Ovis aries: one gene and its partners. The protein of the gene in region 1 purifies or fractionates together with the protein of each later gene. This does not show direct contact. Links are inferred from orthologs where the notes say so. Each region holds a gene or a part of one and is shown on either strand. Other genes may lie near its edges.

Evidence for each region. The genes of interacting proteins can lie anywhere in the genome.
Region 2: the proteins of PML (region 1) and NDUFS1 purify together in Homo sapiens (affinity purification with mass spectrometry; 3 studies listed by BioGRID and IntAct, counting the BioPlex papers as one, with this or other methods). This does not show direct contact. The link is inferred for Ovis aries from reciprocal best matches to the Homo sapiens genes PML and NDUFS1.
Region 3: the proteins of PML (region 1) and SQSTM1 purify together in Homo sapiens (affinity purification with western blotting; 3 studies listed by BioGRID and IntAct, with this or other methods). This does not show direct contact. The link is inferred for Ovis aries from reciprocal best matches to the Homo sapiens genes PML and SQSTM1.

Annotation. Positions count from the first base shown.
Region 1 is NC_056071.1:32,241,771-32,245,420, reverse strand, and holds part of PML (protein PML), read left to right. Parts: intron 1-22; coding exon 23-142; intron 143-553; coding exon 554-803; intron 804-2,118; coding exon 2,119-2,171; intron 2,172-2,843; coding exon of another isoform or gene 2,844-3,581; exon of another isoform or gene 3,582-3,650.
Region 2 is NC_056055.1:208,273,674-208,277,323, reverse strand, and holds part of NDUFS1 (NADH-ubiquinone oxidoreductase 75 kDa subunit, mitochondrial), read left to right. Parts: intron 1-342; coding exon 343-434; intron 435-2,528; coding exon 2,529-2,636; intron 2,637-3,315; coding exon 3,316-3,392; intron 3,393-3,650.
Region 3 is NC_056058.1:1,199,552-1,203,201, reverse strand, and holds part of SQSTM1 (sequestosome-1), read left to right. Parts: coding exon 1-108; intron 109-867; coding exon 868-948; intron 949-3,650. UniProt on the Homo sapiens protein: Molecular adapter required for selective macroautophagy (aggrephagy) by acting as a bridge between polyubiquitinated proteins and autophagosomes.

The sequences.
Region 1 (3,650 bases):
CTTTTGTGTCCCAACTTTGCAGCCAGAGGAGGTGCCGAGGGACCAGATGCAAGCCGCGGGATTGGCCGTGGTACAGCCGGTGCCAGGGGCACACCCTGTGCCAGTGTACGCCTTCTCCATCCAAGACCCCTCCCGCAGAGAAGTAAGATATTCCCCAGCCCTCCCCTCCCCTTCCCAGGGCCCGGATCCCACTAGGTGGTAAGAGGTGGAATGGAAGTGAGAACCCAGACCTCAATAGGCACTGACTCTGCACTCTCCCAGCTCTTGGTTGCCGTGTTAGGAAGCTTCCCTCCAAGCAGGAGCCCCTCCCAGGGCAGTCAGAAGCCAGCAGAGATTGGTGGTCAGTGGTCACCAGCAGGGCCAGTGTGCCTGCTGACTTGGGAGGACCTCTGTGTAGAGAGGTGTGATCCGCACGGCAGATAGCAAAGGGGACAGGAGGAGCAAAGGGCATGGGGCGGGGAACAGATTCCTGCCACTCAGGTCTGGGTCTCTGCCCACGGCCCCAGTCCCCTTGGAGGCTCCTGACCCTGCCCTGTGACACCCCACTGCACAGGAGGGCACCCACACGCAGAAGAGGAAGGCCTGCCAGACCGAGTGCCCCCGGAAGGTCATCAAGATGGAGTCTGAGGAGGGGGAAGAGTCTAGGTTGGCTCAGAGCTCCCCTGAGCAGCCCAGGCCCAGCACCTCCAGGGCAGTCTCGCCACCCCACCTGGATGGGCCCTCCAGCCCCAAGAGCCCCATCATAAGAGATGAGCTCCCCTTGCCTGAAAGCAACCATCAAACCGGCGACCCTGCAGAGACAGGTAGGGAGTGGGGATGGGCAGGATGGGCTGAGGCCTGCATGCTGTCTTCCAGGGGCTGGGTGGGACCCCTCCTCTGCATCCTCACGCCCTTCCCAGGAAGCCCAAGGCAAGCAGCATTCCCTGTGTGTCTTGCCCTCAGCTGCCACCAAATGGGGAAGGGCAAGCCCAGGGTTTGTCTGGGGGGGGCTAGCGCGGATGGTTTAGCCCATGCTTTTCTGGGATGCCCATATAGGGAGCATGATAGCCTGGGGAACACATTTCCTTAGCTCCTTCCCCTGACACACCCTTTTTGAACCCAGTACCATGCCTCTGCACAGGATGGGTCTCCCCAAACAATGTTTGTTGGTGGGTGTCTAGCACATGCTCAGAGAAGACTTGGGTAAAGTCCACACCCGTCGGTTCCCAAATTTTTTTTACGAAGGCCATCCACCTAAGGTATCTCGCTTGCTCAAGGTATCTTTTATGGCCACTGCCAGACAGGGAGTCCTTTCATGTGAGTGGAGGTCAACCCCCAGAATCCTGGAATGTTCAAGACTGTTCTTCCTGGAGCTCTTTTACCCAGTGTCCAGCATTGTTTTCATTCTAGGTCCCACACTGACCCCTGTCCCCGGTCACACTGAACCCTGACCCTGGCCATACACTCAGCCCCAATGGAGAATCCTCGCTCACAAATGCTATTGGTAATCAGGTTTTGTAAACCTAAAGTATCTTTTAACTCAAACATCTCAGCTCACAGAGCTGAGAATTGGAACAACCAGTGTGCTGCTTTAGGATGGTCAAAGGTTCCAAACCAGGTGGTGCTTGTCACACCCCCTCCACAGGTAGTCAGTTCTGAATCATTCCAGGGCCAGTAGCTGAATTAAGTCGTCACAGACAAGGCATAGCAGGCAGTGATGGAAAGCCACCTTGAGTAACCCCTCCGTACAGGCAGATCCTGGCTTCCCAGGTGGCCCAGTGGTAAAGAACACGCCTGCCAACACAGGTAGACATCAGAGAGGCAGGTTCGATCCCTGCATTGGGGGTCCCCTGAAGGGAGGCACAGCAACCCACTCCAGTATTCTTGCCCGGAGAATTCCACTGGCAGAGAGGCCTGGCGGGCTACAGTCCACAGGGTTGCAAAGAGTCGGACATAACTGAGCGACTAAACAGGCAGATCCACGCTGGCACACACGCTGAATGTTGACAGCCCCCTTGCAGGGCACATGTTACCCACCCAGCCCACTGGCCTGCAAGGATTCCCACAGGAGAACACCCTGGGCTCCATCCACGAGCAGCCCTGGCAGGGCCTAACCCTGTCTCCCCTGCTCCGTTTCAGAGGAGCGCGTCGTGGTGATCAGCAGCTCGGAAGACTCAGATGCTGAAAACCCGGTGAGTTGCTCAGAAGTCTGACCCAGGACACTGCCTCCCCCCATTCCAGGTCCCCAGGGGCACAGCCCCAGCAGGTGACTCTCAGACTCACCTCGCGCCCAGGGGATTTATCAGTGAGGCAGTGAGTCCTGAGCTGTCCGGAGGATAGTCTCCAATTGCCAGCTGTGGCCTGGATCGCCCCAGCCCTCCCATCGTACCAGGGTAGGAGCCATCAGTAATCACACGTACTCTTTCTGAAGGCCTGGACAGGGCTTCCCTTCAGAGCCCTATATCTTTTCTGGACTAGCCAATGCCTGTGTCTGCGGCTTCCTTATGCATTGTCTGCCCTCCTAAGTCTCAGTGAGGGGGGCGGACCTGCACCCGTTCCCCGGTTAACGGCAGTGATGCAGGGCCACATGGGGGTATGAGGGTGCAGGGCAGCACCACGCAGGCCCCAGACTAGTACACTGTGACTCCATGTAAGCAGAACTTCCTTTAAAGCCATCCCACAGTGGGACAAGTGGCCGCACGGGTTGTGACCCTCCTGTCCCTGGAGGTTTGTTCATAGCGGTTCATAAAGGCCAGGCTGTCACCTGCCCAGGGGTGAAAGGGATCGGAATTAGAGTGGAAGGCTGGACTGGGTGGCCCCTGAGGCCCCTGCCAGCCTTCAGTCTGAGGTTCTGTGTTGGAAAGCGTGCGGAGCCCACTGAGACCGCCGTCCTGCCTCCTTCCTCATCCATCCAACCCCCGCCGAGAGCTCGCCGAGCGTCCCACTCCCTCCGGGCCTCTCGTCTGTCCCATGGCACATGCCGCCCCTCGGCTTGGCCTCCCCACCATCCTGCCGAGCAAGCTGCCATCCCCGACGCTGAGAGTCCCAGCCAGCCTGCCGGTCACCAGGAGCAAGCTGCCGTCCACCGTGGGATCAGCTTCCTGTCACGTGGGGCGCAAAGAGCCCTGCGCCCTCGCAGCACCTTTCACCTGCCCCTCAAAACGTATGGTGCCCACAGGTGGCCTTGGCCTCCGTCCATGGGTCAAGCCACCACCCCGGCCACCACTGGGCCTCCCAGCCAACCTGCCAATCCCCAGGAGGATCCCACCTGCCCCCAAAGGGCCAGCGGCCAACCCCACCTGGTGCAACTGGCTGCACGACCCCTTGACCCCTTCCCTGCTGTGTCCCAGTGGCTCAACATCTTTCCCCTTCCTCACCCCCCTGGGATCTCCCAGCGTAACACCTTTTATAGGAGAATAATGCGGGGAGGCAGAGCATCCCAAATTCCTGGAGCAGGGGTCTCCCCTGGGGATTCTGGCAGGGCCCCCATGGAAAATCCCCCAGTCCAGGTCCCCCCGGAGGCCTCTCCAAGTGCATTCCTACCACTCCACCCTCTGGAGAGGCCACCCATCAGCACAGACACCCCGCAGACAAGCCTCTGAGTGTCCCAAGCGCCTCCCTCCTCTGCAGCCCTGGAGCTTGGCAGGTTGGCATCCCAAACGTCTTGTCAC
Region 2 (3,650 bases), on another chromosome or scaffold:
AGTTATAACTGGGACTTCCTGGCAGTCCCATGGTTAAGACTCTACACTGACAGTGGCAGGAGGCACGGTTCAATCCCAGGTAGGGAACTAAGATTGTACACATGCCACACAGCAGGGCCAAAAAAGTTACAGCCTAAACTGCTGTTAAAAATAGACAACTATATTCCATTTGGTATTAAGGATTGGAAAAGCTTTCCTCTAATTCACTGTTTTAAAAGTCTGCATCTAGAGAAATAGAAGGGAATAGTATAAAATGAGGAAAAAACTTAGACCTGTAGGTTAGTTATGTAATCCATTACCCTCTGCTAATTTCATCTTCACCTCAATGTTTTGGATGATCAGTTCGAACAACTGCCACAGCAGCAAGCAACTTGATTGAAGTATTTGTTGATGGTCAGTCTGTCATGGTGGAACCAGGAACTACCGTCCTTCAAGTAGGCATTAATTTTAATTCTTTATTTTTGTGCATAATCTGATAAAAAAAAAAACAATTTATTTTCTTGATACTGTTTACTTCTAAAATTTTCAAGATTCCTTGACAAATGCTCTTTAAAGAACTGTAGATAGTAAAATTATATGAAAATAACTTTGATTTGAAATCTTGGCATATCAGAATGAGCTTTTCTGTTTCTGACTTTCTTAATGAACTATAGCAATTCTTTTGTTTCACTTCTGCCTTACAAATAAATTCCTATTTAGAAATTTTAAGTTATGTGAAATAAATTATTAGTTAATATGAGTAAGTTTGGGAGAAAGGTAATCTTTGTTGTGAGCCTGCTTGATGCACATTTATGTAACTTTCCTGTTTTTAACAATATTTCTAGGAAGGTGTCCTACAAAGCACGTAAATGGAGGGTAGTAGGTTCTTGAATTTATGCCCCAAACACTTAATATCTCCAATTTCTTCCAGAACTAACAAAATTGGTCGTGGAGAAGTAGTGCTTTATTCCACTGTAAATTATTGCAGAGCTAAATACTCTTTGTTCATTTTAGCAGTAACTTTTGCACCATCAGGCGTAGAAATATAAACAATAAATATATAACAAAAATATGTTCCGTGTACAGTGGAGAGTATTTTGGCATGAATAGGAGGTGGTAGAAGAGATGTCATAAATATCTCAGATGATCCCTGAGAAGTTTTTAAAGGATGAATAGATGTTTATATGTGGACAAGGAAACTTCAGGTCATTTAGTACTGGTGAAACAAGGTATGTGTAGAAGAGGAGATAGCAGGAAATCAGAACTGTGATGTTGGAGAAGATCTAGTCATTAAAGATAGTCAGTGCAATGTTAAAGAGCTTGTAGTTTGGCCCATCAAGAGTTTTCATGGCTACTAAGCAGTATGACATTGACTGTAGAGGATGGTGCTTTGGAGATTAAGATTAGAGTGAGACAAGGATAGAGTATATCTTGCATTAGTGGAGCAGGAAATGAGAAGGCCCAAAATTGTGGCAATGGAAATGGAAACAAAAGGGTATATTCATGAGAGAGTGAGATGTAGATAGACAGGCCTTTTGGAATGATAAAGAGCAGAGGAGTTTTTGTGAATTCTGGCTTTGTTATCTTACTTGGGGATATATAGGAGGGGACAGGGCTTGCCTGTGGCTCAGATGGTAAAGAATCTGCCTGCAATGCGGGAAACCCAGGTACGATCCCTGGGTGGGGAAGATCCCCTGGAGACGTAGGGGACGGAAATAGATTGAATTTTAACTGTCTAAAGAACATGCACACGAAGTGGAAGACTGTCAGGATTGCAGATGAAGGTTCGAATGTAATCAGTATGTAAGATGAGCTAGTGTAAAGGTTGGGACAGGACCCACTGCATCTAGCACACAGGAAGACTTGGTGCGTTTTTATCAAATTGTTAAAAAATATTGAAAATTGATGAGATTGCTTTAGAGTGAGGGCTAAGGATGGAATAACTAACTCTCGAAATTTAAGTGCATTTATAGGCTCAGAGAAGGAGCAGGGAAAATTGGCAGAGCTGAACTAATCCCCCTCACTAGGCAAATGGGAACTGAGAAGAGCCCTTAGCCAACAGTGGGGAGTCCTGAGTGGGATATATGGGGCCAAACACAGAACCAGATTATAGCCACCTAGATGGTGTGAAATGAAGTCTAATCTAAAGGAGGAAAGCTAGTCAATGAGGAACTCCAGGGACGTGAAGCCACTGGGACAGAGTTTGAATGAGGAATCTTTGTAGAGAATGGTCCAGAGGAGACGTGAGTAGTCAAACACAGTCTGAGGATGCTTTATCCAGTTTTTAGGCATGGTGAGGATCTTTAAAGAGGTATCTTCAGAGCAGACAGAGGTTGGAGTCAAGAACAAAGAAAAGGAGGGAAATCTCTTTGAGGATGAAGGTAGAATGAAGACGCAGATATTTGGAGTTAGGAGTAATTAGATAAGTAGTGGATGGCCTCATTTTTTTGTTGTTTGATTTTTGTTTGTTTTATTTTTCCTGTGTTTTAGACAAGACACAGATGAGGTCAGGTTATTCTACTGCAAATATTTTTTACTTTCTTTTCTAGGCTTGTGAGAAGGTTGGCATGCAGATTCCTCGATTCTGTTATCACGAAAGGTTGTCTGTTGCTGGAAACTGCAGGATGTGCCTTGTTGAAATTGAGAAAGCTCCTAAGGTACTGAATACCTAAAATTACACACCATGCTGTAGAAGGTAGAAAACTTAAAATTATGTAGCAAACTTTATTTAAAATCAGTATTGTTGTAACCAAGAGTCTGGTCCTGTTTACTCATATCTATAAATTTATTTTCTGTGTGATTGATTCTCTTCATTTCACAACTGGAAACACATCGAAGAAAGTACTTTATAAGTACAAGTCCTATATAATTGTAATGTTTAGAAATTAAAGAGACCTTCTTAGAGCAGTCAGTATTTCCAAATGTCTGTGTGACACACAACATTGGAAGTGCTTGTACTGTGCCATTTTTCACTAGAGAAAAGGCTTGCAGTGAAAAGGTTCACTTTCAATTTAACTCTGTTTTGGCTTATGCAATTTTAGTTCAGTAGTGCCTGCTCATCAAAACAGTTATTTGATGTTCTGTTTCAGAGCCTCTTATTAAAACATCATATTAATTATTATAATAAAATTAAGATGATGTCTTATTTTTAAGAGAAATGTAAAGTGCCAGACTATCATAAATATGAAAACTGAAAAACTCAATCTTCCAAAATATTCTGTTCTTTGCTTGTTTTCAGATATATGATTTAATATTTTTATATATTGGATTACTTATAATTACAAATAAAATTTGTATAATTACAAACACTTAGAGATTTCTCCATTGAAATTCCAGGTTGTAGCTGCTTGTGCCATGCCAGTAATGAAAGGTTGGAATATCCTGACAAACTCTGAGAAAACTAAGAAAGCCAGGTACGTTATTGTTAACTCAGCATAGTGACTTTTCTTGGCAGAAAATTGCACATCTCAAAATGTAGACCTTCCTGTAGATGAGAAATTCAGTATCAGACTCTGAAGAAGTTGTGCTTAGCTTCTAGCAGCAGTTGGAAGTAAGTACACATAGAGGAGGTGAAGTCAGGTGTTTATGTTTTTGAGTCTGTGCTGGAATCAGCATTAAAAACCCTTGTTTAGAACTTTGCTCAGCTTATGATGGCAGTGGGTCTGGGGCTT
Region 3 (3,650 bases), on another chromosome or scaffold:
AACATGGGCACTTTGGGTGGCCTGGCTGGGAGATGGGCCCACCGGGGAACTGGAGCCCACGTCCTCCTCAGGCAGGGGAGGCCCACCCTGGCCCTGCCACGGAATCAGGTGAGGGTTGTATCTGCTGGCCTCTGAAGGATGAGATGTGAGGGCCTGCAGAGCTGGAGGGCTTTCCCTGTGCCCTAAAATCCTGCATGCCTGTGGCTGGCCTAGGCACTTTGTGGCCGTTTGTGCATTTAATCCTCATAAAATCCTGCAAAGTGCAAGCATCATCTCCATTGTACATCTGGGAAAACTAGTGCCTCGGTGCTCAAGGCCACTAATGCACCTGCCCCGGTGGCCCTCCCATGCAGGTGGGAGGCCCCTCCAGCGCCTGCGTCTCCAGTCGGCTCTCTTCTTGTTCATGCTAATTGTTAGGAAAGTCACAGCCAGGTTTGCTCAAGTCTTGTAAAACAGTTCCCAAGTTAAAAATTTACACATAGCTTGCATTCTGAACTTTTAGATTCTAGTTTTATTCTGATTTTATTAGTATTACTATGTCCTTTGACTCACCTTGTCCTTAGTGACAAAGATGAGGGTATTTGTTTGAGTAAATAATGCTTTTTCCGGGGGAGGGGTAAATAATACATTATACTCTGTGTACAGAGTTTCTAGGCACCAGGAAGGTAGATGAAGGGGGAGTGGTGTGAAAGACAAAGGGGCCTAGGAGGTGGCCTAGAGAGGGGGAGAGAGGGAAGCAATAGGGTATAGGCTGCTGGGAACAGGCCCCGGGAGTAGGGCTTCTGGGACAGACAGGACTGTGACAGGTTTCAGTCATTGAGAGAGATGCTTTGAATTAAAAGTATCTTTTGTTTTTTGAAACCAAAGCCTCTGGTCCATCAGAAGATCCCAGTGTGAATTTCCTCAAGAATGTAGGGGAGAGTGTGGCGGCTGCCCTCAGCCCTCTGGGTAAGTGCCCCTCCTTTGACATCAGCAGAGCGTTTGGTAACCAGTGTACAGGCGGCTGTTCTGTGGCTTTCAGCTGGGATACTGCAGAGGAGGGGCAGCTGATGTGTCTTTGAGACCAGTAAGGATTCGCTGGCCTCATATCAATCAGTCTTGACCAAGTGCTGCACCACAGGCCGCTTGAGGTTGAACTCCCTGACAAATTCTTTAGCTTTCCACACAGAGTGAAGTGGAATCAGCCAAGAATCAGCCAGCATTTGGTTGGGTAATCCCACTAGGGAGGGTAACCAGGCTCAGTTTAAGGCTGCCCTTCATCTTCTTCCTTTGGAAGACCACTCTGTATTTCTCCTTACTTGAGCCTTGGGGTTTCTTTGAGGACTTCAGTGAGTAGTTAGCTGAGATGCCATATTGCTTTTCTTCCCTTTTCTGCAACCCCCAACCTTTCCTGGTGCTTCCTAAGAACTGGGCTTGTGCCACTGTCAGAGGGAAAGGAGTGAGGGAGGAAGGTTCTCGTGTCTGCTGCTGGATTCCCAGGGTGCAGGCCCAGGGTGGGTGTCTGGGTGGGTGAGCTGTGCACCTTCATAGAGTGACTTGGCCCAAGGCTAAAAATAAAACTTCAAACAGCACTTGCTGTGTTGTGGCCATAAGAATCAGCTGATGAAGGTGACTTATGATGGATCCATGATGCCATCTTTGTGACTGCAGTGGCAGGAAGTGTTACCTGGTCTGTCCAAAAGTGGTGTCCAGTGTCTGAAAGAATGCTGTAGGAGGGTGTCCAAGCTCACCCACCACCCGCCCTGTGGCTCACAGAGCATGACTGCCATTGCTTCCAACCTGAGACCATTTCTGCTCACATTGAAGCAGCTTTGAAGTAGCAGTGACATCTTGGCATCACTGCTACATGAAATAGATCTCACACAATTTCTGCATTGGAGTTAAAGACTTTTGAGCAAGTGAGGAAAAATAATTAGTATATTTAATGCTTTCTAAGGAGGGTAACAGTGGAGTAGAGATGAAATAATTGGGAGATAGGTTATTCCTAAACTCTGCCACTCACTTAAGACATAGTGAAGACATAGTAGGATTTTAAGTAATCCCAACTAATGGGTTGTTACTTAGAGGCCATGGAAAATTTTTCTTCGGAAGATAGTAAATGGACAGTGGTTCTCAAGTGCACTGAACATCAGAATCACCAATGAAAGGTTGATTTTTATTTTTTGTTTTTGTTTTTTTATGGGAGGGTATATATTTTGGTGTATGGAAACTCTTAAAACTGATTATCCTGAAGAGAAAAGTTTTCTTTTGAAAGAATGAACAAGATAACTTGGGAAGTCACAAAACCACATCTACATTCAGGCAGGAGACTGTAAAACAGTGAGGAGTTCCAGGTCCCTTGATTGGTTAAGTGGATTTTGGGTAGGGCATGAGGGTCGATGTGTTCTGAAGGCTTCCCAGGAGACTGTCACACTTGCTTTCCATCCTGAGACCCATCTGAGCTTGTGAAGTGTTTCAGAACTGGACCTGGATTCTCCACTCAGGACACAAGGGAATAATTTTAGAAGTGTTCTGAGGTCTTCGGCAGTAAGAATTAAGGCTCTCAGGTCTTTCAGAGTGGCGGGAGTGCTTTCTGCTAACTTGGGAGGAGTCTGGAACCCTACAAAACAAGTTTCAGTGGAATGTGTGTTTGAGTAGCTATTCAAGAGAGCCATTCGAGGGATGGATTAAACTCTGTCTTTGGAGTTACAGGTATTTTCCTTTCTTTTGAGGAACTAACAGGATAACTCAGTCTACTAACTGCTTAGAAGGGAACATTAGTTCCAACAGCAGGGGCCCAGGAGGGATATAACCACTAATACCTCTCAGAGGGCAGTCTGTACAGTGAGTCAGCGACTGAGACCTTTTTTTGATAAGTGCTGTGAGAGCCAGCTGAGCAAGAGCATGAGCCCAGGGCTGTACCTGGCTGGAGGTCACAGCCACTGACTCCTAGGATGTAAAACAGCAGGGCCGTGGAGTCTTCCACAACCCCTACATAGAGGCTTTGGGGATAGCAGGGCAGAGACTGTGGTACAGTCTTCTAAGCCCTGAAGTCTCAGATTATCATCAAGTTGGAAAAACTCTAATTCAGTAATCTCGAAAATTCATTACAGAAGAGTCGCATCATTCACCCATTTTAGAAAGTATATGGGTATCCATTGTACTGTTCTTCTGTCTTTTCTGATTATTTGAATGTTTCACAATGAAAACTGCAGGGGAAATGGAAGAAGAAAAACAATGTAAATATTGCAGATGGGGTACCAGTTGCTAAGCCTGCTTTTATTTTCTCTGCTTGCTCCTCATACTCTACTAAAATAATAGTGAAGGGGTTAAACAAAATAAAGCAACATGGATAAAGAAAAAGGGAAAAAAATAATGGAGGACAAGATAAAACAATCTCATCAAACTTTGGAAGATGGAAAATGGATGGAGGAAAGTAACCAAGGTGGGATAATTTGAGGATTAATCCTGGAGGCCCAACATAGGATGAAAGAATTCCAGAGAGAACAGAGTAAACTGAAGGGAGGAGATGAACAAATACAAGACAGTCTCTCGGCACTAGGACCATTAACCTCTGGATTAAAAAGGGCCCCAGATGCCTTGGACAAGGCCTGAAAAAGACCCCACACCAGAGCTTAAAATTGTCCTGTCAGAACCCTTGGGACAAAGAG